4 linked regions of the Oreochromis niloticus genome follow. The protein of the gene in region 4 interacts with the protein of the main gene of each other region in a pairwise test. Links are inferred from orthologs where the notes say so. Each region holds a gene or a part of one and is shown on either strand. Other genes may lie near its edges.

Region 1 (7,830 bases), on a different chromosome or scaffold from region 4:
GGACAAACGTTAGTGTCCTCCAAAGCCTGGCGGTACTGTTTCAGACCCATGTACGCCTCCGCTCGAGACAGTCGCGCCACCGCCGTCGTGTCTGGATCTGCAGGGGACAGGATGAAAAGGAGGGGGGAAAGAAAAACCTTCAATGGCCAGAGGAAATTGCTTAAACCTCAACACTTGCACAAATACAAACCATTTAGTTGCTGAATGATTGTGTTGCATGTCACATACATGTAATAGCACACATACCAATTAAGTCTATAACACACTGAGCTACCCCACAATATTTCCTAGCTGCACAGGCAAGTACTGTTTTCCCCTCAACAGAAAATATTTCCTGCAAGTCATACATTATGCAATTAATCAGGACCCTGCATTACATATTAACTGTGTCAATGAATTCTGGCCAAACAGTGTAAAAGGAAAACAAGCTGCAGAAGCCTGCAAGACCAGAGAGAGATTGGTTGACTATATAGTTCTGTCCACTGTGGTAGTTTAAATTAAAAAGAAAAAGCACTACAAAACATGACATATGCTTTAAACACAATGACAGGCTTTTTTGAAAGGCAGACTGCTTTGTTGATGGTAGAACAGCTGCCATTAAGGAGGGCCTAAAACAGCTCTAAATACTTCCACCTGTGAGAAAGACTAAACATTAAGATGAAGATATATTCCACTGGCTATGTAATCATCCTGCCTCAGCCTTTTAAAGCAATCTGTCTGCGTGGCAGATGAAGTTTGTTATTTAACTGCTGTGTCATCATAAACCACATTGCATACTGTCAGTGCTAATAATGTATTACGTTTCCCTGAGAGAGATTATCTCATTTCTATGGAGCATTCGAGATACTAATTGGAAGGGTAAGGGTAGTTTGTCTTGTCATCATTACATCAGCAAAGCACCCCCTCTGTGTCTGGAACTTTCTATCCTCCCCTCAGGTTGGATGCAGAACTGTGGGTCTGCACTGTCATAAGCAGGTACTGTCGACTGCAATAGCGCCTCAGTGGCATCGGTGTGAAGTCCTCGACCCACTGTCAAGTGACAGAAGGGTGATGCCGCTGTTATCTTTATGTAACCTTTAATGTGTACAAATCACTGCTTTTGGGACGACCTGAGAGACAATCCAGGAACAGGTCAGGCTGTAATTTCATATTTTGTCATTTGTCATCCGGCACACAGCCCTTCCTTCCTTTTTAAAATAGTCGAAGCAGCAAACGAGAAAAAAAACGAACAAACAAATATATGATGTTAATTTGAAAGCAAGTAACTCCAAGCATCTAATGTAGGGGAGGAAGTGCATTTGGGTTGTATTGATTATTTCTTAATTTATCCTCAGCAAGCTCCATGTTACATCCAGAAAAAACAAACCATTTACCATTTTAGGGGAAAAAGGGGGGGATAAAGTTTTGCTTTAAGTTACTCAAACTATCAAATGCAATTTATTTTGTTCTGATTAACTAAGACATGCTTTCAAGTCTGAGTCCCTGGGGGTTCCTGGAACACGGGTAACCCTTTCGCTAAACATCCTGATATTGTGCTGCTAATGTCTGAGTAACAGAGGTCAAAAAGGATACAGCATGTTACATGAGATATTAAATCACATGCAGGTCCAAAGCAGTTTTCCAGACCTACTGTCAAGCTGCCAGGCTATAGAACTACTACCCTAATTACTATAACAGCACAAGTTTAATGAATAGACTAGAGTTCCTTCATTGTGTGATTGAAAGTAATCAGAAATTTAGTAATCAGGAAATTAAAAAAAAGAAGGAAAAGAAAGCCTGTTCCTCTTGTAAGACAGCAGCATACCCACAATGCATCACACTGCTTTACTTTCTATTTTTGTTTTCACGAAGGCAGGGCATGCTATCCTCTGGCCTGTTTTTCCTCTTTAACCTGGGAACTCAGTGTACAGTTTTCAGTATGACTGGAGTTTGTTTTTACCGGACAGAGGAGCATTACTCACTTCAATACACCCACATAGGGGTTTCCTATCAATACTTGCATCTGCACCTGCGAAACTCAACGCCAACAAACCTCCCACATCACTAGCAGGCTAACTACAAATAAATAAACCAGCCTGGTTTAGTTTCTTTCATTGCATAACTTGCTGCCTTTGCTGGGTGTGTATACGGACCCCCGGCCTTGCCTTGCTTTACCCCTCGGTGAATCCATCCCCCCCTCCCACCTTCTAAGACATTTATGAAACCGTGGTTCGCCCAGACATAACAATTACAAAATACAACCGCCCTCCCCCCATAATAAGTTACAAAACCTGCTCCAATATGTGTCACGACCTGCCTTACGCAACGTGCACCAAGCGCGCATGCCCATCTTGTGCAATTTCGTAAGCTGGGCCCAGCAGATAGGCAGAGCAGGAGGAGACTGGCGTCAGTATAACACATGAAATTAAGTAATTACTACTTAAAGAAAATATTGGTCACCATGTTGTCCCCTCTGAATCCATTGAGGGCACGGGCCATACACGTATCCCGCTCCCGTCACTACTACACAACCCTGGTTAAGTAATAACACATCCGCACTCCAGTCACGCCTGCTCGGTGAGAGTGCGCAGTAGACACACCTCTCCCGAGTGCACGGCTGGCACTGTTAACAACACTGACCTGACTGAATCACGTCGGTTGCTAGCTCCACGGCTTCTTGGTAGCGTTTTCTTCTACAGAGTGCGTCCACTTCCGTTACTTTTTTCGATTTTTCCACTTCCTCCGGGAACCATTTACTTAGTAGTGCGCACAAAATCACGTTCACTTTCTCCTCGCCCCTCACGTGTTCACTACACAGTTTACATTTGTGAAGTAGCCGTCGCTGTAAGCATCGTTTACAGTATGAATGTCCACAGGCTAAGGTCACGGGTTCACCTAGAAAGCAGTGACAGTTAGGACACTCCAGCACGTCCTCCTCCGCGGAGCTCTCCGCCGCATCCCGGCTACTACGGCCCGACAGCGGCTCCGGCCCGGCCGCTTTCCTCTTAAAGTTGCGGAGGATACAGTCCACGAAAGTGCTGAGCTGCTCGGGCCGCACAGGACTGTACCGCATAGCAGCTGAAAACCAGTCAATGGCTTCTCTAAGGCAGTTTTCGGACGCTAGAGCGTTAGCTTTCTGAAGTATAAGTTCATGGTGGTCCTCCTCTTCCGAGACGTTGCCCGAGTCAGCACCGATGAAGAAGGCGCTTCTCTCCTCCAGGGCGTCCGCCGCTTGCGGCTGGAGCGACATATTAGCGTCTAAAAAGATGAGCAATAGTATGTTATAGAGACTTAAGTTTTCTTCTGGTAACGTGTTTATACATTTCTACGGCTGCCGTGGTCCTTTGCGGTATATTGAACGCACTTTCCCACAGATACCCGATTGTTACATAAAAAAAATAATTGTCACGTGAGCAGCAGACTCGTGCCGTGATTGGTCGGGACCTCTCGGTTACAAAACCTGCGCTTGAAAGTTTCATAACTACGGAAGAGACGTAGTAAAGTTGTCAGTGTGCCAAATGTCAACGCTCTAACTGGAACTTCTTAACCTCCAAGTCCTTTACAGTCAAATAAAACCAAGCAGAAGTCATATTACTGCGAAAGTTTGAGCGGGAGGTTTTGACACCAGGGGAAATAGGAAACCTACCAGAAGGCATTCATAACTGCTTGTGTAATACGATTTTGTAACACTTTCCCAAGTGTCAGTTTTATGTAATTAATTTCATGCACCTTATGCACCTATTTCCTCCTTTTTCTTTCGACTTTCTCAGTGTAGTTTCATACTTTCATTTGCTGCCGGAAATATTTACTCTTTGGTTTTTTAGAAAGTTTTGCACAGAAAAGCAAAGATAACAACTCCCGGTCACTGCTAGGATTACGTCACAGCCATATTATTTATGTAACGGGAAATTACCTTTCTCCAGAGGTAACAGGGCTTGAGGTCCGGTGTCTGGGGAGGTGTGTTTTTCTACCCAGGTATGCTTTTACTGCAGTGGCAGTGTCTTTGGGATCATTGTCATACTGATATATGAAGCTTTTGCCAATCAGATGGTTTCCAGATGGTATTGCATGGTGAATCAAAATCTAGCCGAAATACTATTGGTGTTGTTCCAAACCATGACAGCCTTTTTCCCTTGTTTCCCTTCCATACGAATGTCTTCTTGACGGCCACCCTTCCACTGAGACCATTTCTGATAAGACTTCGACAAACAGTAGGTGCAGATGCATCTCTCATGTCCGATTTCAAGTCACATATAGGAAAAGTACCCAGTTTTCGTGATCGTGAGAATCGTGATCTATCTATCTATCTATCTATCTATCTATCTATCTATCTATCTATCTATCTATCTATCTATCTATCTATCTATCTATGTCCGAACATAGTTTGAAGGAAAAAGACGAAGGGCCAGTATTTATTTATTTCCTCTGTTTCTTCTCCTCTCCATGTTCCACAAGAAGTAATCAAAATATTCCAAAGCAAAAATAAATCATTTTTTGAGGCAAATACATTAAACAAATTGTCTACATCTACACAACAAGAGGTTTTGTTTGACATTTTGCATTGTTCACACCAAACAGTTACTCTGATTGATCATCTGCCAGCTCCGAATCTGCTTCTTCAAACTGGCTGTTGAGTCACTTCAGCTCTCGGGATCTGTCAAAATATGTTCTCCTGGCTGTAAGTTTCTGTGCTATCTCGCAGAGTCTAAACAGTACATATTGCACAGAGTACATAGTGGCAATTGTGGTGATACTATGGTTATATTATGATAGCCATCGAACAGGATATCCACTCACGTCCCCTCATGCTTAACCAGTCTCGGCTTTAATGATACACAGATGTTCAGAGGTCATCAGCTCTCAGTGAAAAGTAAAAGGGTGATTTATGAAATGCTGCAATCTTTGGGAAAACGCTGTAAAAACCTTACACAGTGTAGCTGACGTTTTATGAGGCGGTGTGAACCTGATTGAGTTTTGTATAACGTGGAGGGACACCTCCCTCTAGTGGTTAAAGAATGTTATTGCTTTAATGGACTTGTTTAAAAAAAATTATTTGTAAAAAGTTATTTATTTACAAAATGTCTGCACTGAATAAATACAATAAAATGTGTATCTATTTTTGATCGAATGAATTTTAAAGCATGTCACAGAAATGTTTTATACCCCCCAGCATGTTTGCACTGAGTAGGAGATGCTCTGTATCTCATTGTACAGCTGTATAGTGACAATAAAGGTATTCTATTCTATTCTATTCTATTCTATTCTATTCTATACTGAAAAATAGAAATCTACATAGCATTAATGATCACTTGTCAACGTGCAGTTCATATGTAATATTTCGCATGGATCGCATTATTTGGTGCTTAGCACATTCTGCTGGTATGCAATACGCAGAGTGCGATGAAGCAGTTTGCACTGTCATGTGATAGGCTTGTTATAAACACCAACTAGAGGGCAGTGTTGCACTGTGTAAACTGAGTCACAGTCTGCTCACTCGACTGATCAGATGCATAAACCAGCATACAGCTCCATGACTAACCTCAGGAGGTTAAACTTTCAGTTTAACTTTTTTGTGTGTGAGTTGTGTGTCCACTACAGAGGACGCGAATGAGCAGGCTGGGTCTCAGAAGGTTAAAACTGTGTAGACGCACAACTTGAACTTTGCTCATTTGCTACATTAAACACGTTACAGTGCCACTGATGATAACAGAGTCAGCACACCCTCCTTTCATGAATCTTCCTTTCTCTTTCCTTGTCACTCTCATATAATTTTAAAACCGATGTCACAAAAGCTAGAAAGGAAGTGTCATCCTCTAAAATCTTAATTTATTCTTGATCAACAATTCCCAATTAAATGTGTCTTTATTAAGAAGCTATACCTGACATAGCCTTTTTATTTTTCTGTAATTAAGATCGTCCCTCTTTATTTCTAGATCCTTGCAAATGTGCATCCGTATGGTTACTCTGAAGAGTTACAGACTAACCATAGTTTGTGGATTTGAAGCACAGAAGGAAATAATCAGACCATATACTGATTTCACAACCGATCACAAAATTTTACTATGGCAGATGTTACTTTGTATAACGATTATCTGACAGTTGCCCATTTGTCTATGCAAAATATAAGTCTTCCTCACATGTGAATGATAGTTAGAGAGCAAACATGCTGGCCAAGATATGTTCTTTAACTGCCACATTAAACAAATCTCTACAACCGCCTTCTTTCACCTGTGCAACATTGTACAAATTAGGAACATCTGCTGTCACAGTGATTCTGAAAAACTAGTCCTGCGTTTGCCAGTTCAAGGCTGAATTATTGTAATTCCTTATTTTACTTATTCCTTATTGTCCACCATCTCCTGTCGAGTTTAGTAAAGATGACAGCACTCTCTGTGATGATGCAATGCATAGGGCTGGTTCAGGTGCTGCTTTAGGCCCAGGCTGCTGGAGGACTCATAGTGGTGCTCGGCTCTGTTCTCCTCTTGCTCACTTATCATCCACTTATATGCTGCTATTGCACGTCAGTAACTTTGTGTGTTCTGTGTTAAATCACTCTTTGTCTGTCTCTATATGACCCTGAGTCTGAAGTTGCTCAGTATTACTGATTTAAAAAAACAACAACAAAAACTGCTGTTTGTTTGGTTTGCCAGCCAGTGAAGGCAGGTGGCTGTCTTTCCTGAGAAAATTCTTTTGGAGCTTTCTTCCTGTTAAAGGAAGTTTTTTCTTCCTACTCCCCACCAAGTGTTTGCACAAAGGGAGTTTTTTTAAATAACATAACAAAGCCTTCATATGGCATATTTTAAAAAAGCAAGCAAGATTATTACCACACAAAAATACAGCTAGATCAGTTTGATCAATGCAAGATGCCCAATGTAACTGACCCCAGTTACAGATCCTAAGATTTAATTATCTCTTTACTTCCACTTACCCAGTTCGAGGGGTTGGGGGGCCGTTTTTCACGACATAGACAGAAAACAAGATAAAATGTATGCTATTTATCCCCAAAACTGTGAAATTATTGTGCTACAGCATGCAAAACATTAAGCATACATAAATTTAGTAGATATTAAGTAAATATGACAAAATAACTCAAGAAAGATGTAGTAATGAGACAGAAGCAGGAGTACAATTACATAAAAATGAATTTAAAAAAGTGAAATAAAATAAAAGAGATTGGTGAATTTAGCAAGGAGCTGCTAGAGATCAGTAGTGCGATGGCTGAACAGTACCAAATTTGACAAGTTTCATCAACTCATTAGCATAAAGTCTAGCTCAGGCAGTAGAACGGGTCAGCTACTAACTGGGAGGTTGGTGGTTTGATCCCTGGTTCCCGGTTGCTCCAGTCTGCATGCTAAGTATCTCTGGGTAAGATACTAACCCAAAGTTGCCCCATATAAATGAGAGCACTTATGTAGAAGAAAGTGCTTGTATGAATGAAGTGCTCTGAGTGCTCGGGTACAGTAGGAAAGACCCATTTAAACGAACTGGGAGCAAAGTTCTTCCTTCTTCCCCTCTTAATTAATAACTTTGTGTGATTCCCGTGATCAAAAGCTTTTAAAGCATAAAACACATAAAGAGTGACGAGTTTCTAACTTTATATTTATTTACAGTCTCGCTTAAAGAATAATTACACAAACCAGAGTCACATTTACAGTCACACTGGTTCTCATAGTTCATAAAACTATTTAATCTATCCAGCAGAATTCTTACAGTTACCAAGACTGCTGACTTTAATATGAAGCATCCTGAGATATTGGGAACTGGCATTTAGAAAAACATTGTATAAAATGAACGCAGGCCTGCATACCCGTGTGTTTATTGTACGTAGCATTATGTTCGTACACTGATGTA
Region 2 (7,308 bases), on a different chromosome or scaffold from region 4:
AGAAATGTCTACAGGAAAAACTAGAAGACTTCACTGAATGAACTGACGGATAAACCTTCAACACTCACCTCTTCTGCTTCTGCTTCCGACAACATTTATCAAGAGTCTCCACCGGAAACGCCTGTTCACCTCTTAAAGAGAACCTCGGTGAGTATTTTATAGAAAATTTAAATGAAAGTGAACTGTTGTGTGTCATTTTAGCACTTATTACTTAGGTTATGTCTTTATTCTTCAAGTAATATTATAAGATTTGGTTAATTAGCCTGAAGAAGCAGCTTTTACTTTTTTCTTTTAAAAAAAAAAGCCTCTAAAGTTGCTCTGATCCAATATTTCATCCATTTGAATTAACTGTAATGTGTGACGACCTGTAAAGAGATCAAGTATAAGCCTTGAGATATTCTGATTGCTTCCGTGGAATAAACAGGATGTCTTAAAGATGAGTAATAACTGGAACTGAGTAATAAAGTTTCATCATACAAAGTGCAAGGAAGTTGTGGCCTGTTGGAAAGAGAATATCACTCTCTCAAAAGATAAGATGGCTCTTAACAATAGCCAGTAGTCACTGACGTGTTATTCTTCGAGCAATATAATTGTTTCATGTGGTTGGACAGGTTAAGGCTTGAACCTGCTGACGTGGGACAATACAGGTGTGTCACTTAGCTTTAAAGTGGACTTAACAAAGCTTTCAGGTGTGTCAGGATAAAGGATATCCTCATCCTCCAGTCAGGATGACATAGTTTTGCTTCCACTACAGCATTCAGACTGAGAGAGGATTTTGATTGACTTGATGTGATTGTATCTTTTATCCATCAGACCCAAAGAATGGCAGAGAAGGTGCTGGTCACAGGTGGAGGAGGCTACATCGGGAGTCACTGTGTGGTGGAGCTCATTGAAGCAGGCTATCAGCCAGTCGTGGTGGATAACTTCAGTAACGCTGTGCGAGGTAAGCTCCGTTACGCACACCAGTGAAGAGCTTTTACTGAGAAAATTATTGAAAAAATTGTAGGGTCTACCTTACAATATAAAGCGGCTTGAGGCAACTGTTGTTGTGATTTGGTGCTATATAAATGAAATTGAATTGAATTGAAAAATAATCAGCGTGATACTTAGACCTGGTGTTTCTGTGTGTGTGTGTGTGTGTGTGTGTGTGTGTGTGTATATCCATTGTGTTTTGGATTGAGGAGAAGGGAATGTGCCAGAGAGCATACGCAGGATAGAAAAGCTCCTGAAAACCAGCATTGAGTTTCATGAACTGGACCTCCTCGACCGCCCCGGCTTGGAAAAGCTGTTCAAAAAGGTCAGAAAGTTGTTACAGTTGCTTTGTTTTTTCTAATTATTTATCTGCATCTGAAACTGTTTTACAGTGTAGACACTTTGATTTGTAAAGTCAGTATGTTTGGGTTTGTTTAGCTGAAAAAACAGCCCAATTTCTGCTTTACTGTTACACCCATAAAACAATCAGCAATAAGAAAAATGCACCACCATTTAACTTTTATAGCCTTTGCTTGTTTTCTTAAAAATGTCCCTGCTGGCCTGCATAAACTGTCATGAAAAGCAGTTCATTTGTAGTATTTGCGGCCTGTGTCACACGTGCTTCTCTGTTTGTGTGTTGCAGCATTCCTTCAGTGCTGTGATTCACTTCGCAGGGCTGAAAGCTGTGGGCGAGTCGGTGGAGAAGCCATTACTCTACTACAAAGTGAACCTCACCGCCTTCATGAACCTGCTTGAGGTCAGTCAGTAGCTCCTGGGTGATCTCAGATTAGCACTTTGAATCTTTGCTCTGCACTCATTATTAATCCCTGCTCTGACCTTCTTCTGTGTTTGCCGAGCGCACACCCGTGTGCTCATTTGAAAATGAGCTGATAAATTCTAAAACCGCGTCCTTCTGAGATGTTATGCATGTGGAGCTCACCGTAACAGCCAGAATCGGCCTTTTTTCCTCAGCCCTGAGCTGAATGCACGTGTGCTGTGGACTGCTGACTCTCCGGCCACTGATTGTGTGTATGTGCCATGTTTATGTGTATCTGCATGTGTCCCAGGTGATGCAGGCTCACAGAGTGCGCAATCTGGTCTTCAGCAGCTCCGCCACAGTATATGGAGACCCCCAGCGCCTACCCATAGATGAGCAGCACCCCGTGGGAGGCTGCACTAACCCCTACGGGAAGACCAAGTACTTCATCGAGGAGATGGTCAAGGACCACTGTAAAGCTGAGAAGGTAAACTCAGAAGAAACACATTCACAGATGTGCACACTTCCATCTCCTGAAGTGTCTCATTATTCCTTCTCTGTGGGCAGGACTGGAATGCTGTGCTGCTGCGCTATTTCAACCCAATCGGAGCTCATTGCTCCGGTCAGATAGGAGAGGACCCTCAGGGTATCCCTAACAACCTGCTGCCATATGTTGCCCAGGTATCTAAAGTCTCTGCCAGATGCCACGCTGTGCGCATCATAGTGATTGTTATTTCACTGTTTCATCTGTCTCCATGAATCGCATGACTCCGATTTGCTTGCATTGCTTAATTTAGGTAGCCGTTGGGAGACGAGAGTGTCTGAGCGTATATGGAAATGACTACGACACGATCGATGGCACAGGTAACGGAAATCACTGCAAATCATTGCACTTGCAGGCAGCTTTGAAATAGCACTTTAAATAGCAGCCAGATACTCAGAACCATGCAAACGAGGCTCCTTTCTGTTTGCAGGTGTGAGAGATTACATTCATGTTGTGGATCTGGCAAAGGGACACATCGCTGCTCTGAAGAAGCTGAAGGAGGACTGCGGGTGCAAGGTATAACAACTTGGAGCAAATTTCCATCACGACCATTGTCACATAGATGCTTTAGGTATTTATTAGTGTGTGTGTCTGTAGGTTTACAACCTTGGGACAGGAAAAGGCTACTCAGTGCTTGAGATGGTGAAAGCCATGGAGAAGGCTTCAGGAAAAGAGGTGAGTCATCGTGGTTACTGTGAGAGCTGAATCATGTTTATAGTCTGTTTTCTGGAAGTGACGCAAAGCACCACCAATCTGGCACTGTGGAAATACCTCTGATCACCTTATTTGTCCATGTAATTAACACAATGTGTTTTCTGTTTAGATCCCATATAAGATCGCCCCTCGCAGGGGAGGAGACGTAGCTTCCTGCTACGCCGACCCTCGCCTAGCTGAGAAGGAGCTGGGCTGGAAGGCTCAATTTGACCTGGAAAGAATGTGTAAGGACAGCCACGCTGGAAAATCTGATTCTTCTCCATGTTTGCTTTTCTACAGTCAAATAAAAGTGTTGTAGTATCTCCTGTATGATCTCTGTGTTTTTTCTTTGCACCTCTTTCCATGCAGGTGAGGACCTGTGGCGCTGGCAGTCCATGAACCCCACTGGATTTTCTAACGGCACTTGCTGACGCAACCCGAGTGGACTGTTGCTTAAAAATCCTCTTTTAAAATCACCAAAGGGAACCACCAGCTTCCTCATTCGCGCAATGACACATAAGACCTCAAGAGAAGCTGCATTGTTTTTATTTTTGTTAAACTCTAATGATTCAGCTGACTACAAGAAGAGTATCTAAATGTCTGTTTACTCTTTGCTGTTAGCTCAGACTTAACAACTGATATTTTCTCTATAAATGTATTGATCTGTGAGCCATAACAATGAAAGAATAAATTAATTTTCTTACTGAAAAGCTGAAACGTGCACTTTCTGCCTTGACTGTGTGGAGTGATTGTGACCCTGGTTGTTGTTAAATACATACAAATATTTTTTTTTCAGAAATGGGGGGGTAGATTAAAGACTCGGACCTGTGTGATAAGGTTAGAGGAGCATCATGAGTCCCTGCACAAATACTGTATGAATATCGCTCCTTTCGCAGTGAGGGCGTCTGTTTAAACGGGGCACTGGGACTTTAAATGGCTCCTTGAACCCTCGGGCACCCAGTTAATAAACACCCACGTCAGCACAGTGCTCCAGTCGGTCTAACCGGGTTTCGGTCTTTAGGGCTGAGCAGGAAGTGCCTGACTGTGGACCCTGGACGAGCAAAGAAAAGAGCGGAGGGGGGGAAAGGCAAACGGGAATTAAACATGGATATGGTGGCGGACTTGGGGGCGAGCAGACTGTACAGGGCGCCGGGTGAATCGAGCCACCAGTGAGTATCGATGGATTTTGTCAGGGGGAGTATGAAGGCGTGGGGCGTAAGCGGGTCCTGCCGACACCTCGCGCCTGCGAAGCAGTCGCTCGCTTTGGGCAGCAGTCAAATCCTCCCCGCTGCTCGCCGGACCTCCGGAGAGAAGTGGGGGTGGTCTTGAGGATGAAAACGGGCGTGTTAGCGCGTCGTTGCCCCAGACTGTTACACAATGCGAATAGATGTGTTTTTCCAGCTCGCAGCGCGCTCACTTGCCGGAGGTTTGTGTCTGTTTTTCTATTGTGTGCTGGCTGAAGCCTGAAGTGGGCGTCGCTCCAGGACAGACAGACTGAGCTGCCCGCTTTCCTCTCGCAGGACTGCAGCACTGTCGTGTCGCTTTGTAGGTCGAAGGATGTCTGATTTTACGCGGAAGAGCTCGGTGGGGACGTTAGACTTGATTTCGCGTGCCGTGAAAGGCACCATGGAGTCCTGCGGGCGGGCGTTGCACCGTGGGTTGTCGGGCGCTGCGGAGGTTGTCACACAGCCGCGCTGATGGCTCATTAAACACGGGTGCGTGCAATCCCGAGCCTGCATGAGCACGGATTGAACAGGTTACCGTGAAATAAGAACTGGTCTGAAAATCAGGGTGCTGGACCTATTTTTTTTCTTTTTCTTTTTTCTCTTTGCGTGTCCGGCTGCAGTGTTTTATTTTCTCTTCCTACAAGTCTGACGCGTTTACTCCGTCGGGGGTTTCTGGAGCGCGTGAGACCTCAGAAATGATTCAAGGTTTTGTCACCCGATGCTCTCTGACTGACTTGAGTCGGGTGTAACCCATTAGGAGAAGATTTTGCTTGAAGGATCCTTCAACAAATCAAAATGCAGAAAAAAGTCAGGTGGGCGGGCCTTCTGCTGAGCCGGTGTAAAGACAAAGATGCAAAAATTGACAGCTGCAAGCATGTGGTGATGCTGTTGTGTTTATTATGCTCAGATGAATGTGGCATGATTACCATTGTAGGCTGTTACCAGACCATTAAAATCCAGCGGCCTGTGTTTTCCATGTTAATTTGGCATTGGGAAGAAGTTCAGTAATGAATGTCCACCAGGTCTACAGGACTTGTGTCATTTCTTATTTTCTTGCTAAAGAAGTGAGTGTGTCTTGCATACAGAGCTAGTGAGCGAGCTGTCATGTTGTCTCCTGCAGGCAGCCTCAGAGGTGGTTCAACACGGCCGACATCACAGTGTCTCACCAAAGCAACCTGCTGAAGCAGCTCAACCAGCAGCGCCGCCAGGAGCTTTTCTGTGACTGCAGTGTGTTGGTGGAGGGCCAGCTCTTCAGGGCTCACCGCAATGTTTTGTTCGCCAGCAGCGGCTACTTCCGCATGCTGCTGTCCCAGGGGCCCGATGACACTGTCAACGCCACCTTTGACGTCTTCAGCCCCGAGACCTTCACGGTCATCCTGGATTTCATCTACTCTGGCCAGCTGGACCTCTCCAGTCACAATGTGATTGAAGTCATGTCTGCAGCCAGCTATCTGCAGATGAACAACGTCATCAGCTACTGCAAGAACTTCATCAAGTCCTCGTTGGACATCAGTGTGAAAGATGAAGACAGCGATCGCTGCCTCAGCTTGTCTGAGACCTGTAGCTTTACCAGCGGAGCAGGAGAAGACTCCACAGAGCAGCATCAGGGCCCCTGCTCTGTCAGCCCTCCACCTGCGCTCTGGACTCGGGACAACTCCAGATCACAGTCTAGCTTTATGGGAAAGGACTCGGACCAGGATCCTTCGGCCTCGGCCCTGAAGACTGATCCAAACAGCCCTGTTAATGAGCTCAGTGCAGATGCAGAAGACCTCCAGGACCCTCAGGACCCTTTGTACACCTTGCCTGGATCAGACCGTCGGCGTGGAAAAGGGAGTACAAAGAGGCGAGCGACCAACAGCGCACGGTCCAACCAGCACGAAGACTTGGACATCCAGGAGGCGCGGACACGAAAGGCTGAAAAGGCAGAGGAGCTTTACGCCACTCTGCCACCAATTGTGGGTGTTATTGGACACTTTAATAAAGGTGTGTGCCACCAGAAGATGATGATGACGGGAACACTTGGACAGAGATGATAGGGAAAAGTCAAATGTCACATTTTCTCTGTTCCTCTTTGCAGATTCGAATCCTACCATGCGCTTCAAATGCCCCTTTTGCACACACACAGTGAAGAGGAAAGCAGACCTGAAGCGTCACCTGCGCTGTCACACCGGTGAGAGGCCGTATCCATGCCAGGCCTGCAATAAGCGCTTTACTCGCCTGGAGCATCTACGCAGCCATTTTGAGACGGTAGGTGTTTTCACAGCAGATGGTAAATTTACACTTTCTTCGGTGTCCGTGTCGGCTTACAGCTCCAGGAAAACAAGCTGCTAAACAAATTTACTCTAATATTTAATAAATCGTTATCCAATCTTTTCTTTTTCTTGTTAATCTCCCAGATTCATCAAGCCAGGAAGCTGGTGTGCAGGAAGTGTAAGTGTCAAGTGACCGAGGAGACCGGGCATGTGGTGTGTGAGGGCACGAGACGCTACCGCATGTGCACAGCGTGCATCCAGGAAGTGGGCTGTGACGACATCCCCATGAACAGCCTGGAGGGCCACAACGAGGAGCCGGCGCTGTTACTGGGTGTGGACGGGGAGGAGGAGGGGGACACAAAGAGGAGCTGGATGGTGACTGACGACGATGACCTGGCAGAAGACTCGGGGGCCGACCTCATCATCCAGCAAGTGGACGTCAGCGACGAAGAGCTGCAGTGAAACTGGACCAAAGTGTGCGTGTGTTTTTGTGTGTTTGTGTGTTTGTGTGTGTGCAGATGCATACCCAAATTTGAAGTGTTTGTGTTTTAAAGTGGCCCTGGTATGCTCATTTTCAATTTAGGGGTTTACTACAATAAATTTACATTCATTAGTATTCAAAAATCATTTTTCTCATATTGTACTGTGCATAGTGTTGCTGCTGCACCTCTTTTCACCATCTGCCTGAAACGATCTGTTCTAGGAAAGTGAGGTATGCAGCCAGAGTTACCAGTACCCCAGAGAGTACTTTAGCAAGAGCAGTTAATTAAATTACAATTTCATTAAAGAATTGATTGAACTTAAAGAATTGTTGGCAGATAATTAATTGAAAGTAATGGTTAAATAGCAGAATTGGGCGAAAAA
Region 3 (7,598 bases), on a different chromosome or scaffold from region 4:
TGGAAAACGCTCCACTAATGCCAGCACAGCTTCCATTCTCTGGATGGCATCTTGCTCCGTATCCAGTCTGTTCTGCAAGGCTCTCGACTCGTGGCTCAGAGAAACAACAACGTCTTTTTCATGCTGCAGACGTCTGGCAGACTATACCGGGGTTATATGAAAAAAGAAAGAGATTAAAAAAATAAATAATAAAAATCTGCTAAATTATAAAGGAAGCCCCAGTTTGCTGATCTAATAAGAAGGTATTTCAGTTATAGTCAAATATATTTGGAAAAACAATTTTGGTATCCTCATACCTGTATTATGTCCTGTTCTGTAAGGTCTATCAACAGTTGAAGGTTATGTTCAAGCTCAGGGAGCGCAAAGCCTGATCCCTTCTGATCCCGAGTAGACATGCTTGGTGGACCTTCATCAGGAACGCTGTGCTTGTTGGATATCTGACTGTAACTGTAGTACACCTTCTGCTCTCTTCCAGTCATGTCTATCACCTAGGCACCGGGGGCAGGTACGGGGTAAAAAAGGTTAAAAAAACAACAAAAAAACAAACAATAATAGCAGAGTGCATGTGCTTACATAGATACACCAAACAACTTCACCCATAGAGTCTAATACTGACTACAATTAACTTTAGCTGCTAAAGTTTGCTGTAAAAAACAACCATGCCACAGTGCCCTTATAACACACCTCTGAGAAAGGACAAAAAAGCACTAATACCTTGACCTGTGCCAGCTCCCCAGCAGATGCCGCTGTAGCCCGCCCCGCCACTTTGCCTTTAGCTCTGAGCTCATCTGCAGTTCTGTAGGAGTACTTCGGTTTCTTCTTTCCTCCCGACCCTGCAGGATCCTTACGCCACTGGCCCAGCTCCTTCTGAAACTCCTACATCAGCACAAATTTAGATTAATGTAAAAAAAAAAAGAAAAAAAAAAAGACTTTACAATTCAACATCTGCTTACTTGTAGAAAAAGGAAAAGCCAAATTTTGTCCACACTTTACCTTTTCCTCCTCTTCATCAGAGTCCACCACAGGAAAATCTTGGAGAGACTGCGGAGTTCGCTCGTTTCCATAGGCTCCGACTGCCCCCTTTCCCTTACGAACCTTTGCTTCAATAGGGTTTACAATACCTGCAGCAATGAGAGCATGGAAGAACAAAGTAGATCAGCTCTAAAATACACACAATACTCTTAAATACTTCAATATTGTTGCCTCCTCAGCCATTCCTACCTTGAGCATTCTTTCCCAGGCCTTTTCCTGGTTGGTAGCCCATTTTCTGCAGTAGTTTCTGCCCAATTCCCCTAGTGTGCTTCTCCCAGCTGCCAATGCCTTGTCCAGACTGTATGCCACCTGCAAACCTCTGTGACTGATTCCCACGGAAATTACCCTAGCAAAACAACTCAGCATGTAATTGTTCCTATAAACTTCTTTGAGATATTTATGTGCAATATACACACAAACAAATCACACATAACCAAATTTACCATTTGGAGTTTTTTGGGTGCACGAGAAGGTGGAGGAGCTGCAGGACCATCATCATCAGAGTCGTCAGAGCCTCCTTCCCCTTTCAGCTGTTTCTCCTCTGCTCCCGTCTTTCGCAGACCAGCACTCACAAAGCTCACTGGGACAGTGTAGTCTTTAGATCTAGCAATAAAAACACAGACAGCAAACTCAATCTCCTACTAATGGCCGACTTTAAAGCTGTGGGCAACAGCAAAAACAAACCCACGCCTCACCTCTTGCCACCAAAGCTGGGCCTCTCATCTTCGTCTGAATCCCTGTCAGCCCAGATGCCGTAAGTGGCCTGTTCCTTGGTCTGCCTGTGCCTGTGGCGGTCTGGGTTGAACTCATTGGCCAGGTCCCAGTCTGTCACCTCAAAGCTCTCAACCTCAACACCCTCCTCCTCCTCATCTCTCCGCCCATATAGGTGTGACATGGACATCTCTGGAGATCATAATGAACAAAATCACAATTTAAAGAAATGTAAGTAATTTCAAATAAATTTGCTCTACTCGTTTAAAGGTTAGGTAAAGACCTTTGACATGGGATCAGAATAATAAAATACATCCATCTCCATAGCAACAGATCAAACTCAATCTACTGTTGAAAGCAATGAGTTGTAGCTCAGAGCACAGGGAAAAACAAAGTCAAATACATTATAATAAAACATAATATTTTCGAGCTATAACATTTTTCTTCTTCCAACTGCTCTCTTTAGAGGTCGCAACAGCAGATCCTCTAACCCTGTCCCTAACATCCTCCTCTAGCACAGCAACACTCTGCATGTCCTCCTTCACTTCCTCTATGAACCTCCTCTGTGGTCTTCCTCTTTTCCTCCTGCCTGGCAGCTCTATATCTTGCATTCCATATCAAACCACTATCCCTCCTCGTCGTTACTTTTACACCCATCTCTCTCTCTCATTCTCTCACATGTCCTCTGTTCTCCAGAGCACACCTCCAGCTGTCCAGGCTCTCTTTCACCTGCTCCCTACTCTAACTACAGACCACAACGTTGTCTGAGAACATCCTATCTGAACTAATCTGTCAGCCTGTCCACACTTTGAGGCTCTATTGCTGCAGATTCCAGATCAGCAACAGTGTCGCAAAAATTAGATCAGTATAAATTTAAAGAAAATTTTTATTTTATAGAGACACGTCTTAAACACACACATCACTATCTCAAATATTTGGTTCGTTAGTTGACACTAACGACACCGAACAAATTCATCTCTGTGGAGAAAACACAATGTAAGCTAACGATAACTAGCTATAGCTAAGGTTAGTTACCCTCTACAGCATAAATGTCTTGCTATACGTAATAATCTCGAGTGTTGACAAGCAGTGTAAACACCGTGTTCTCTAACGCACCTGAACAGTTATATAAAGGTCTGCGTGGAGATCAATTGGACATGCTTTCGTTCAAAAACGATGAGAAGTAATCCACACTAACGCCAATAGCCTCTTCGTTTAGTGCACGACAACACAAGTACTTCCGGTATGATGGTGTTACACCAAAATCTGTACCCCTCTAAAAAATTTCGTTGGTTCTTAGTAATGACTGTTGGCATAGATAGGGCAAAGATGCGTTTATCTCATTTATTTTGTGAAGTAATGTTCGTTTCAGTAGTAAATAATAATAATAATAATAATAATAATAAAAACACGGTATATAAACTCAGTTTAGTTTTTTCCCCCAGGTTAGTAGAAATTCATATTACATCATCCTATTAGTTTAAGAAAGGTTCATATGTTAAATATATCAACTACATTTCAAAATGTATTTATGTGTTTATTTATTTAGAAAAAATGTGCCTACCCACTTTCAGAATATTATTTCGCAGTAACTTGAGGCAATATTTGAACATGAATACCTAAAATTATTAAAGATAAAAGTCTCACTGACTTCTCTTACTATAAAAGTGAATCAGGATCTGTAATTTGGGACACACTGGTTAAATAAAATATTAAATAAGTACATACAAACATACATAAAACCACCCTCCAAAGTCCTATATGAGAATGTATTAATAAACAAAATTAGCTAAAAACAACGGGGCAATTTCTAGTTTGCTTCACAATAATATACATAATTATATATAATAATATTTAAAATAAATACAAAAAATTAATGTCGCAGTTTCTTTAAATCAACCGAGCTGTGCATTATTTGTAAAGTAATTTAATGACCGCACACCACCACCAGGTGGATATTATTTGATGGACTACAAATTTGGCGTAACGCCGGAAGAGGAAACGCGTGTTACACCCAAAATATTCCCACATGTTGGTCACTTGTCTACTGAAGAAAAAAAAATGCTTTTCGTTCTTTGATAACTGGACGAGTATTTTTTTTTTAATGATATGCTGGGGTATTGGTGCTAAGTTAGCATAAATGTCGGACACCGGAGGGGAGTGGCGGGTGGCTCGGCGACGAAAAGGTGCGTCGAGGAGCTCAAAGTCTCTTCAGGTGTCTGCAGCATGCGGGCAGGAGCCGCTGGACGTCGGGAAAACTGTTAAACGCATCAGAGACACCGTGTATGAAATTAAAGTGTAGCTCAGCAGCAACACCTCGGACGTCTCATCTTCACCACAGTCCCATAACTCTGCTTTTATTTCACCTCTGCAGGTCTGAACTAAGATGCAAAGAGTTTTGGCAAGATTGGAAGGGTAGGTTTTGCTTTGAAAGTTGGGGTTACCACCAAACATCTGGCTTGCAGCTGTGTGTGTGATTGTCTTTCTGCCTTTAGAGCAGCTCTTGGTGGCGGCATCAGCATCTCTCTCAAAATCTCCAGCGGACAAGGACGCTGAGGACCAGCCGGAGCGGATAACCAAGACATGCCAGCAGCTGGAGTGTGTGTGTTATGGTCTCGGTCCGTTTGCCTCCTGTGTCTCAGCCCGCTACCAGCTTGCCATGTTGCTTCTTCTACTGGAAGCAGGACAGGTCAGGGGAGGCTTCATCCTCAGTTAGATGACAAACATTCACACCAGACCCTGCTTGTTATACATATTATGTTTCTCCCTGTTAATATCTCTTCAGATTCCTCTAAAGGACTGCTCTGTCTATGATCCAGTCTTCTCCTCTGGAGAGAGAGATGTTCTGAGAGACCTGGGTCTGACTGTACTCTCAGAAAATGAGGTCAGTTGTTGCTCCCTCATGTTTTTTTTTGTCCTGGTAATTAAGTCAAACACTGTTAATAGGCATATACTAAAGAGAACTGTGTCATATAGTACATAAAACTTTACAGTTCTTTCAAATTTCAACTATATTATTATTTATTATCCATTTTATATTGAAAATGGGGACTACAACATTGTTTAGGGGAGTAGACTGTGCAAACAGTGTGTGATCCTGTGTGTCTGTATTGTTCAGGAGGGGAAACGTTTGGTAGAAAAACCCACATTTTTTTACCTTATGCATTGTGGGAAAGCCCTCTACAACAACCTTCTGTGGAAGAACTGGAGTGCACGGGGTCTCCCTCTGATGATAATCATCGGAAACAGCTTCACTGGGATGAGGGAGAGGTTTGTACGAGAAGACACGTGCACGATGGAGTCAACGTTTAAGCAAGAGCAGTGGAGATGAAGTTGACATCTGTCTGTTTCCCCAACAGGACGATCGAGAAAGAGTTTAAGCGAGATTACAGCTACATCAGTAAGGCTGTGGATTTTAGTGTGGAGAGAAAGCTCGCATGCCCATCTCATCTGATAGACGTCTTCAATGACACAGCAGTCATCACATTTCCTTCCAACAGCCTTAACGGTCTCCCACAGTCTACCTGGGCAGAGTCACCTGAGCCACAGTACCAGCACAGCCCTGATTTGGAGATTATACTGAAGGAAACTCGGAGCTGAGGCAGGAGATGGATATGGGACGTTTTTTATTGACTGTTGTCATTCATATGACAATTTTTTTTTTTTTTTTTAATGGACCTGTTGTACTTTTACTTAATTATATATGGTGACAATGATGGGTTTTCATATTAAACACTGACCACGTTTCAGAGTTTTCCAGTGAGCTAAAACCTCAGGGATCAGACTGCCCTAAACTCGCTGTTTAAGACCATCAGGGAACCTTAATTTGGTCAGTTCCAGATGTAAGGGACAGAAGCCCCTCCCACTTACTGTTCAAACCCTCTGTTTGTAAGCAGAAGCCAATCAAAAGAAAGCTGGCATAAAATGGAGGAGAGCTAAAACAGCTTCTTTACAAACAGTGACAAATTGAGGGACTGGGCATGAAGGCCCACTATAAAATGAGGATTATTTTGAACTGTGGACCATGCGATCTATTCAAGAAAAGCACAAGAATTAAATTGTTGAATAACAAATCCTGCTCATAAAGTCTGACTTTATTCAGCTGTAACAAATTCTTTAATAGAACTGTAACATTTTATGTATCTGGTCCTGAATTAGCCACGATACAACCAAAGTATGCAAAAGAGCATATCTGAACACACAATGTTGAAGCAGGTGAGATTCAGCAGCAGAAGACCACACCGGCTGTCACTCTTGTCAGCTAAGAACAGGTAACTGAGGCTACAATTCACATGGAAAGTGATTTGCATGGATCCGTCCTGCCTTACATCTAGAATTCAGGCTCGTAGTGTTGTTTGGGAGATTTTGACACTTATTTGGCTCTTTAGTGCAAACTGGGCATTATTTAAACACCACAGTGCCCATCTTCTGATGGCTGCTTCAAGCAAAATAACATGTCACAAAGCTCAAATTATAAACTGGTTTCTTGAATACTGTAACTCAATTGGTCTCCACAGTCAGATGTTCAAAACAAAACAAAAACCCACATCCCACCAAGAAGCAAACACACATTAGCATGTTACAAAAATGTAACTTTATCAACTCTACAAATTTTTTATTTATATTCACATGAATGGAAATTCTCATAGGGTTGAACTGTTACATTGGTAATTTAAGTATATAAAGACAATAAGTTGTATTTCTTATGTTTGAACCAGTCAGATTCAACTTTTATATAGAATAGCAAGATTTTATAAAAGCTAACCCTTTTTATTTTACAGTCTTCTACCTTCCAGTGCTTCAGCTCACCTGTGTACAAATAGAACTTCAAATTTGGTCGGTTTATTAGGACACATGCATCCTGATTTACAGATGAATAGAGTTGATACCTTTAAAATTCACATTAACATGATATAAAGTCATGTCATGTAAGTGCATTTAAAAAAAAAAAAACAAAACAAAACCTGAAGGCACACTTTTTAATACACAAGGTAAAAAGTTTATTATTGAAAAACAAAACAAAAAGGTTAAACCCTCTTAGAGTCAGTACTAGGGTAAAATCTTCAGCATAAAGTAATACTCATTCTGTCCTTCTTGTTCATTGGATCAAATTTCATCAGGAAATACTGGAAGAGCTTTTAATCTTACAGCAGTGACTTTGGAAAACTCGATTACAACTCTTTGTTTGCTTCGTGATCATTCTTCAGCTGTTCCATCGGCAGTGCTGCCATCTCCTTCTCCATTTACGGCTGTAGCTTTGCCTCTGGACTTTGAAACAACATCTGCCCAGCTCACGCCACTTCTCAGGGCCGATGGGCTTGCAGGGACGTCCATCCTTCCATTTATTTCGCCTGAGCTTGACTCCATCTCATCATTTACCGTGTTGACCTTATCAGAGGCCGCTTTGTCACCTTCTGCACTGGTTTTCTCCTTTTGCTGGTTTTGCTTAGCTGGCTCAATCACATGACCATTAGCTGAAACCTTCCCAGTGCTCTCCAGAGATCCTTCTACTTGTTGGTCCTGCTGGCACTTGCTTGTATCCTCTGCTGCTGCTGGGTTTCCCCCACCCTCTGGTTCCTTCCCACATCCCGTTTCTCGATCTGAACGTTTCCCTCCTTCATTCACAGCCACTGAGCCGACATTAGGTAGTTTAAGTCCCAGCTCTTTCACCACTGCAGCCTTTAGCTCCAGATGCTTCTGCTTATACTCCTGGAACCTATTGCTGTGAAAACAGTCATGTCATAAGTGGGTTTATACATAAGAAATGCTAATACTGAAGTAAGCCACATACAATCCAACTAGAATTTAAAACATCATTTCTAAAGTCCATTTTTGGGTCCATTCTTGAGACGTGC
Region 4 (7,284 bases):
CTCAGAGAGCTGCTTGTTGTCCTCCTCACAGATTGAACAACCCAACTCTCGATCCGAGCACAGACCCCGCCGCTCTCATTGGACTGGGGCTGAGCGGGAGACGGGCTCTCATTGGCGGAAGGGCTGAACAACAGGCAGCAGGATGGACCGTCCGTCCGTCCACCCACAGCGGCCACATGGAACAATAACGGAGGCCAGAGTGGAAGCCGGGTTTAAGAGGACAGCCGCTACCCCTGATCCCCGGTGTCCCCGTTAAACCCCGTGCGCGCCATGTGTCAGCTCGGTAGGGTTAATCTGGTAAAATACACCTGAGGCGCGCGCGTGTAGTGTGCGTGTGTGTAGCTTTAAGCGCCCTATGAGACGCATCTCCTTTGGATGCTGTCGTGGGGAGGGACTACTTTCAAAATGCGTCAGCGCAAATCAGTGTAATTCAAGTTTAAACATAAAAAGAAAGCCGCTGCCTGGAAGAAATGTGCAGCATTCAGGGAGAGTTTGAAAGCTGAATAACATATCACAAGTCCTAAAAGAGAAGTCATGTCAGTTTTATCAGCTTTAATTACAGTTGTGGTTACGCTGGATATCCAGGATTTTTTCACATGAGATTAGGAGACGCATGGATAAAAATAACCATATTAACAATAGTAATTATCGTGATTTAGTAGGACACTTGAATTATATATTTTTTTTTAAATACAATTACCAATTACTGGTAATTTAATAGGACATTGTTCTGCATTTTTTACTTTTTTTTCCTGCTCTAACATAAGAGTCCACTCGATGCCAAGCATAAGTGAGATCTTCAGATTATTGTAGATAATGTAGTATGTAGTATCTATAAACAGAATTAAATTCTCAGGTTTTAGAAGCTAGATCCAGTCTTTTGGACATTTTAAACAATCCAACATAAACAATCTAACTTACTGTCACCCTAAGATACCTGCACAGATACTTCTTTGTAATCTAATAAAGCATTTCCACTGTAAAATCATTACACGTGTAAGGACAAGCCTCACTTGTTAGCCTCCACCTAATACTGGAACACTAATCCAACTGCATAAACCTTGGGATTGGACTGACTGTGAAATTCCTGGGCCTGTAGTCAACGTTTAGTTCATTCATTCCTGTCTTTCTGACAGAGAAAAACAAAGAAAACTTGATTGTTTGAAAAGAAAAATCTCTCACCTCCTTGTGACATCATCTTTAAACGTTAAGCCAGCGCAAAACTTAGATGATGCAACAGATAAAAATCGACCTCTCTCACCGATAAACGTCATCAGATCAGTTGACAGTCAACAGGGCCAGCGTTCAGCTGATAAATTGGTTCATCCCTGTGTAAACTAGCAAGAAATCAATGAATACTTCGTGTCTCTACTCTCAGATAAAAGTGCACCATCAAAAGGGCATCGCAGTATGAACGCTCAGAGACTCTGACTACTTGTTTTCACTGTGTCTCTTTATTGCAAATGCTTTCATCCAACGCTAACGTGAAGTTCTGCAATGATAATAAAACCCCAGACGTTCAAAAAAATAAAAAATGCCTGGGTACTAACGCTGATCCATAGGACCAGGAATATACCAACATCTGTACAAACATGGAGAGAAAAAAAACAGATATCTTTGTTGCAAACTCAGCGCACATTGCTTCCAGGGATTTGCAGCTTGCGCAGTTTGTTGAACAACTCCAGGTACTGAGTCATGGTGTCAACACAGTCTGCTGGTGCAAAGAGTCCCTCGGGCTTGGCAGCAAACACAGATGGCAGTTCAGGGACGCTGGGGCCGAGAAAGGACTGCATAAACTCCTTCATGAGGTTCCAGCAGTCCCCAGGAACGACACAAGGGCAGTACTCCACCTGAGGAAGCAAGCCAGGAGTTAGCGCCTCACGGAGAGAAAGCAGAAGGACGTGACTCGTCTTTATCACAGCATATATATATATATACACACACGCACCTCTACTGATATCCCTCTGGCACTGGAGCTCATCGTCACGGTACCAACTTTTATCAAGAAGTCGCAGTAGCGATACCTCGAACCACGAGACTCCACCTTGTGTCCCTTGGCATTCTGGAAGTGACTTTTCAGCTTCACCATGAGGACATCAAAATTTGCATCCGCTATTAGGCAGGGTCCACCTTCAAACAGAGCCAAGCAGCTCAGGGGGGTTTCGGAGTTGTGCATCACATACAGGAGCTTGGAGGGCTGACCTACAACGGACAGACAACACTTAAAACTGTCAGGTGAGATGAGGAAGGAAATGAAAGTTCCACAAAGTTAGAGAGGCAAGGCTGAGATTTGCACCTGAGGTTTTGACGTGTACAGTGAGGGATAGTAGATATATTGGGCAAAGGATGTTAAAGACAGAGGAGCTGCCAGGCAGGAGGAAAAGAGGAAGACCTCAGAAGAGATTTATGCATGTAGTGATGGAGGACATGTAGATGGTTGGTGTGACAGAAGAAGCTGCAAGGGTGAGATAGAGGCAGATGATCTGTGGTGACATCTAAAGGAAACAGCTAAAAGAGGAAGGAAAAAGACTTCTGGCCATATAGATATATAACTATTACTTATACTGATGATAATTGTTATTCTCCCACAGATAAATTCAAAAACTGTGGCGGAAAAGTAGCCAAAGACGCACAGGAGGAATCAGCGGTACTGAAGAGGACAGTAACCGTATGTCGATGGAACTCGTAGTAACATTTCTAAGGAGGTGCACATCAGAAGCATAAATTCCCAATAAAAGTGACTGCCTTACTGTTTTGGCCTAACTACAGCCAATCAAACTGGAAATTGAACCAGTACACCAGTACTTATATAGCTCGTTTTAATGTAGCTGAGTACTCAAAGCACTTCCTACTACAAGTCTCACACTCACATTCATACAGTGTTTTTGTCTATGCCTAAGTGTTTTCTAACACACAAACACACACACCCACAGATGGATGCATCAGGGGCAACTTAGGGTTCGGCATCTTGCCCATGGATACTTCAGGATGCAGACTGGAGGAGATGGGGATCTATGACGCTCTCTACCAGCTGAGCCACAGCTCGCGTGACAAAAAAAGTGACATTTCTGGGGGGGGGTTATATGTTATATGTTATCCTGCCTTTATTGTGCCTATATTATAGTCAATCTAGTCCTTACTATCTATCTAGTGCTTATCTAGTCCTTTATAGAATTTTGATGTTATATTTGTCACAATTTCTCTTGCCCTCTTTGCCAGATCTCTCTAGACTTTTTTTTTTTTATGTCAGTGACACTTTTAGCTGGATAAATAAGGGAAATATGAAAATCACTTTGCAAAAAAACAAGTTCTGCTTTGTGATAGAAATGTTCTTTCTGACTCAAAATGACTCAGTATCGTTCATGAGAGATCTGTTTGAGAGATTATAGGCCAATAAGTCATTTAAAACAGTTCAAATACCGGCAATCTTTTTTTCTTTGCAAACAATCACACGAAAAGGGGATAAAATACTCTGCAGCCCCACCTAGACAGGGACATCAGGTCAACCTGATGGGTGAGTGCAATACGTCTGCATTAATGTGATCTATAAATCTGAATTCTAAAGCTCAGAAACAAACAGATAAAAAAATATTACTGCTGGAATTTCCCGTGGCATGGTAAGTCTCGCAGTCCACGCAGAAGCTGCCTTGCTTCACGGCGCCCAGCTGCTCCAGCTTTTTGTGCAGCATGTCCACAGTCTGCTGCACGCTCTTCCCCTCCGCCACGGGCACCTGGCACACACTGAGGGGCACAGCAAGCAGAGGACTTGAGGGACCAGCATACACTTTGTTCCGTGTAACGTTACCAGCATTGCTGAATGAGACAGAGCCACGCCTCCGCGGATCAATGAGAAAAAAACACGCAGGGTGGTTGAGGCTGGGCCAAATCTGTTTGAATATTTAGTGGTTAAAAAACGTTTAAAATCAAACGTAGGTTTAAAAACCACCTTACCAAGTAACACCCATTGATGTTTTGCCTCTCTTCACTTGTAGTACGGTGTTTGAGCACTTCCGGGTTAAACAAAACGCCTTCCGGTACAGTAAAAGAAAACAACAGAAAAAATAAAAATAAAATAAAATATTATTTATAATAAAGAATGGTGAATATTAACACCATTTCACAATGAAACAGTCAACTGACTTTGCTGTACTTTTTTTCTGAAGTGGTCGCCGAAAGCTGGATGTTACGTGAGTGCGATGCGTCACTTCCTTCTTGCCGGACCTGCGCACGTGTTGAAGCAGTGACTGTTTACAGTGTTTGGTAAAGTCTGTCCTGTAGCTCGCACATGTCCACGGAAACATCCACACTGTGGTCACAGCTGAAGTAAAACCGCAGCGATGCCGAAAGTCAAACGGTCCAAAGGTGGAGGAGAGAAGAGCGGAGCCGCGCCGGTGGCGCTGGCCGACCAGATCCTGCAGGCGGACATTGTCCGAGCTAAAGGCCGGGTTAAGATCAGAGACACCCGGGAAGAAAGCGACGACAAGTACGTGGACGAGCGGTTGTCACGGAAAATCTTACAACAAGCCCGCATTCAACAAGAGGAACTTCAGACCGAATATGGGCTGGCACCAGAGAAGAAGAAAGCACCAGTCACTGTTCTCGGTAATGTTGGATTGGTGTTGTAGTTATCCTTAAATTGGCAGATATTTGAATGGAGTCTGGCGAGTGAAGTGCTAACACCATGGGGAGATCAAAAGTCAGTTGGCTTTGACACACATCGCATTTGTTCAATGTTTTCTGACTAGATTAGGTAGCTGTAATCAACGTAGTTTGATGTTTTCTACTTACGCTTTTGGTCATCAAAAGGAGACAAATCAATTAAAAAGTTTTCTTCTTTTGTTTATATACCTATATTTGTCCTTAACTTTCATAATCAACAACATTCCACAGCACAGATCTTTTCATGAGAAAAAACTAATACTAGCTCTGACTTGCAGCCTTGTTACTATACATATAAAATACACTCTCACAAGCACACTTTAAAACATAAAATATCATTAAATAGCATTTCTCTGGTCCTGGATATTTATTTGTAGCAGGTATGTCATAATCTATAAATAAAAGTAATATATCCATTCAGCCCTTATATCATGTGCAACCCTGTTACACTACTAATTTTTTTTTAGCCCTGATCATATCATTTTTAATAAAATTGTCATAAATGTTTTTATTAGCTCACAAGGGTTTGATCTGTTAATCTGCTGCCTTTGTAACTGCTTTAATTATTACATGAATAGTGTTATTTGAGCACAGATATAAATATGAATACTGAAATTACCAAAAAAAAGTACATATTGAAAATTTGGTAGGTTTTGAAAGTTGCTTAAATGAATAAAAATTGAGTGTTATCTGTTATCAAGTGTGAAAGATGCTCAAGAATTTATTAAACAATATTTTTTAATCTACTTTTTCGGGTTCTGAAGTATTGGCTGCAGAGATGCGTACAGAAACTAAAATATCATAAAAAGTTTATCTTTAATCCCTGATCTGGACATATTTAATATTTATTTTTTTCTTAAACACATATTATATTATAAAATAATAAGATATTTTTAAAGCCTGAATTGTCCTCCTATTGTTAAATGACCCAGGAGTTTTTCACACAAATACATAGTAGTGCAACACATGTTGAATCCATGTTACAGTGTAAAATCTTTCCTTGTGATTGTCTTTATCAAGAAACCTTACTTAACTAAAATATTTATACCTAAAACATTTCAGTGTGATCTTCTAATGAGCCATCTCCGTCTTGTAATCTTATTTTAGGGCCTGACTCTCAGGATGCTGACTCGGATGAAGAATGGCCGGCGCTGGGAGCAGCAGATCCTGCAGATGTTGAGTACGACACAGAAATCGTTGTTGACGCTGAAGATGAGAAGGCCATCGAGATGTTCATGAACAAAAACCCACCAGTGAGGTGAGCTACACCGTCGCTTTAACTTCAGGCGCTGCGAGCTCAGCAAATCCTTGGCTTTGTGTTTGTATTAATGCTGTGCAATAGTGGAAAGTTTGGTATCGGGTAGGGGTGGGCGGTATAAACGGTATACGGTAGAAACGATATGAATTTGGCCAACGGTAGAGATTTTGACTATACCGCTCTGCAGCGATAGCGCATGTTGATGGTTTCATCAAGCTGCGCCTGTTTTGGTCGAAAGCATCGCAGCGGCTGCAAGCAATGTCATCTGCAAATTGGGCGACAGTAATAGCGAAGAAATGAAGCACGTTTTGGAATATGAGGAAAGGCAAAAACTGCCCTTCCTCCACTTCCGTACCATTGATTCATTAATGTTGAATTCTCTCGCAGTTGCTCTATACCCATGTTGTTGCAGTATACTAATAACTAACCTCGTATTGTGGATGGATTATCTCAGTTGTTGTCCTGACTGAAGTTTGGTCCATTTACAGCATCCTGCCATGCATTTGTCCCTAACCGTCAGACCCTCACGTTAACTTTTATCGAGTGGAAAAAAGTTGGCGTTCATCCTCCAGCTTCACTGTTTATGTTATGCTAACATAGCTGTGTTGCTAGCGATCATGTAGCACATCATTATGCTTCAGTAACCCTACAAAAGTCACTGCTGTTTAGTTTTCTGTCTTCGCTTATGTTGGAAGTGATAGCAGAGCTGTACGTTTGAATTTTTTCAGAAACCTCTCTGTCAGAACATGCTATATCATGTTTAGGTGGAAACTAGCGAGCTTCCTTCCTTCCTAACTCCTAACTCTGCTCGGTTTTCATGGATGCCTGGATGTTAAACTTAATTGTTACACCTGGTAAAGAAGCAACGCTGATCATTTTATTAAAGATGAAAGAATTTAGACAGTTTTTAATGCTCAGTGATGTCGCAGCGTTCATTTGGCTTTGGGACCTGAAGCAGACGGAGTTTTGGACCCAGATTACTCCGCCAGGCTCCTGACTGCGGCAGCTGTAATGCTCCGAAAATCCATCAAGCGGTGCGGCTTCGTAGCTTACCAAAATCGTACTAAAACATTTTTGACAGATTTTTGAGCGCCGTGTTCCACATAAAATAGGTTTGAGGTCAGTAAGCACAACCAGAATTCATACATAAGACACACCGGATTATAAGGCGCACTGTCGATTTTTGAGAAAATTAAAGGATTTTAAGTTCGCCTTTATAGTGCGAAAATACGGAAGAAAAGAATATATCGCGATATATATTGTTATATATGGATTTTAGGCCATATCGCCCTAGTATCGAGCCAATACCAGCACTTTTAACCTATAAAGGAGTCGCCATCAATTTGCAAATTCTAAATATATTTTAA

The links.
Region 1: the proteins of bysl (region 4) and lonrf1 interact in binary tests that used the Homo sapiens proteins (3 or more experiments, as listed by UniProt). The two-hybrid records come from large-scale screens. The link is inferred for Oreochromis niloticus from reciprocal best matches to the Homo sapiens genes BYSL and LONRF1.
Region 2: the proteins of bysl (region 4) and zbtb8a interact in binary tests that used the Homo sapiens proteins (3 or more experiments, as listed by UniProt). The two-hybrid records come from large-scale screens. The link is inferred for Oreochromis niloticus from reciprocal best matches to the Homo sapiens genes BYSL and ZBTB8A.
Region 3: the proteins of bysl (region 4) and tfip11 interact in binary tests that used the Homo sapiens proteins (3 or more experiments, as listed by UniProt). The link is inferred for Oreochromis niloticus from reciprocal best matches to the Homo sapiens genes BYSL and TFIP11.

Annotation. Positions count from the first base shown.
Region 1 is NC_031971.2:21,181,657-21,189,486, reverse strand, and holds the start of lonrf1 (LON peptidase N-terminal domain and RING finger protein 1), read right to left. Parts: upstream 3,387-7,830; 5' UTR 3,230-3,386; coding exon 2,620-3,229; intron 98-2,619; coding exon 1-97.
Region 2 is NC_031983.2:27,605,902-27,613,209, reverse strand, and holds the start of zbtb8a (zinc finger and BTB domain-containing protein 8A), read left to right. Parts: upstream 1-4,145; 5' UTR 4,146-4,297; coding exon 4,298-4,392; intron 4,393-4,398; exon of another isoform or gene 4,399-4,987; coding exon of another isoform or gene 4,988-5,004; intron 5,005-5,312; coding exon 5,313-6,175; intron 6,176-6,269; coding exon 6,270-6,439; intron 6,440-6,588; coding exon 6,589-6,906; 3' UTR 6,907-7,308. Other genes in the region: gale (UDP-glucose 4-epimerase), read left to right, coding at 823-943, 1,182-1,297, 1,616-1,729, 2,040-2,216, 2,297-2,410, 2,527-2,593, 2,704-2,789, 2,871-2,948 and 2 more. UniProt on the Homo sapiens protein: May be involved in transcriptional regulation.
Region 3 is NC_031977.2:17,583,287-17,590,884, forward strand, and holds the start of tfip11 (tuftelin-interacting protein 11), read right to left. Parts: upstream 3,006-7,598; 5' UTR 2,860-3,005; intron 1,936-2,859; 5' UTR 1,934-1,935; coding exon 1,728-1,933; intron 1,636-1,727; coding exon 1,476-1,635; intron 1,379-1,475; coding exon 1,222-1,378; intron 1,122-1,221; coding exon 994-1,121; intron 877-993; coding exon 715-876; intron 489-714; coding exon 297-488; intron 142-296; coding exon 1-141. Other genes in the region: srrd (SRR1-like protein), read left to right, coding at 3,884-4,026, 4,118-4,158, 4,239-4,432, 4,529-4,627, 4,862-5,013, 5,103-5,343; si:ch211-166a6.5 (clustered mitochondria protein homolog), read right to left, coding at 6,940-7,465. UniProt on the Homo sapiens protein: Involved in pre-mRNA splicing, specifically in spliceosome disassembly during late-stage splicing events. Intron turnover seems to proceed through reactions in two lariat-intron associated complexes termed Intron Large (IL) and Intron Small (IS).
Region 4 is NC_031970.2:21,836,151-21,843,434, reverse strand, and holds the start of bysl (bystin), read left to right. Parts: upstream 1-4,190; 5' UTR 4,191-4,337; coding exon 4,338-4,602; intron 4,603-5,766; coding exon 5,767-5,917; intron 5,918-7,284. Other genes in the region: med20 (mediator of RNA polymerase II transcription subunit 20), read right to left, coding at 1,629-1,850, 1,949-2,202, 3,596-3,741, 3,952-3,965. UniProt on the Homo sapiens protein: Required for processing of 20S pre-rRNA precursor and biogenesis of 40S ribosomal subunits. May be required for trophinin-dependent regulation of cell adhesion during implantation of human embryos.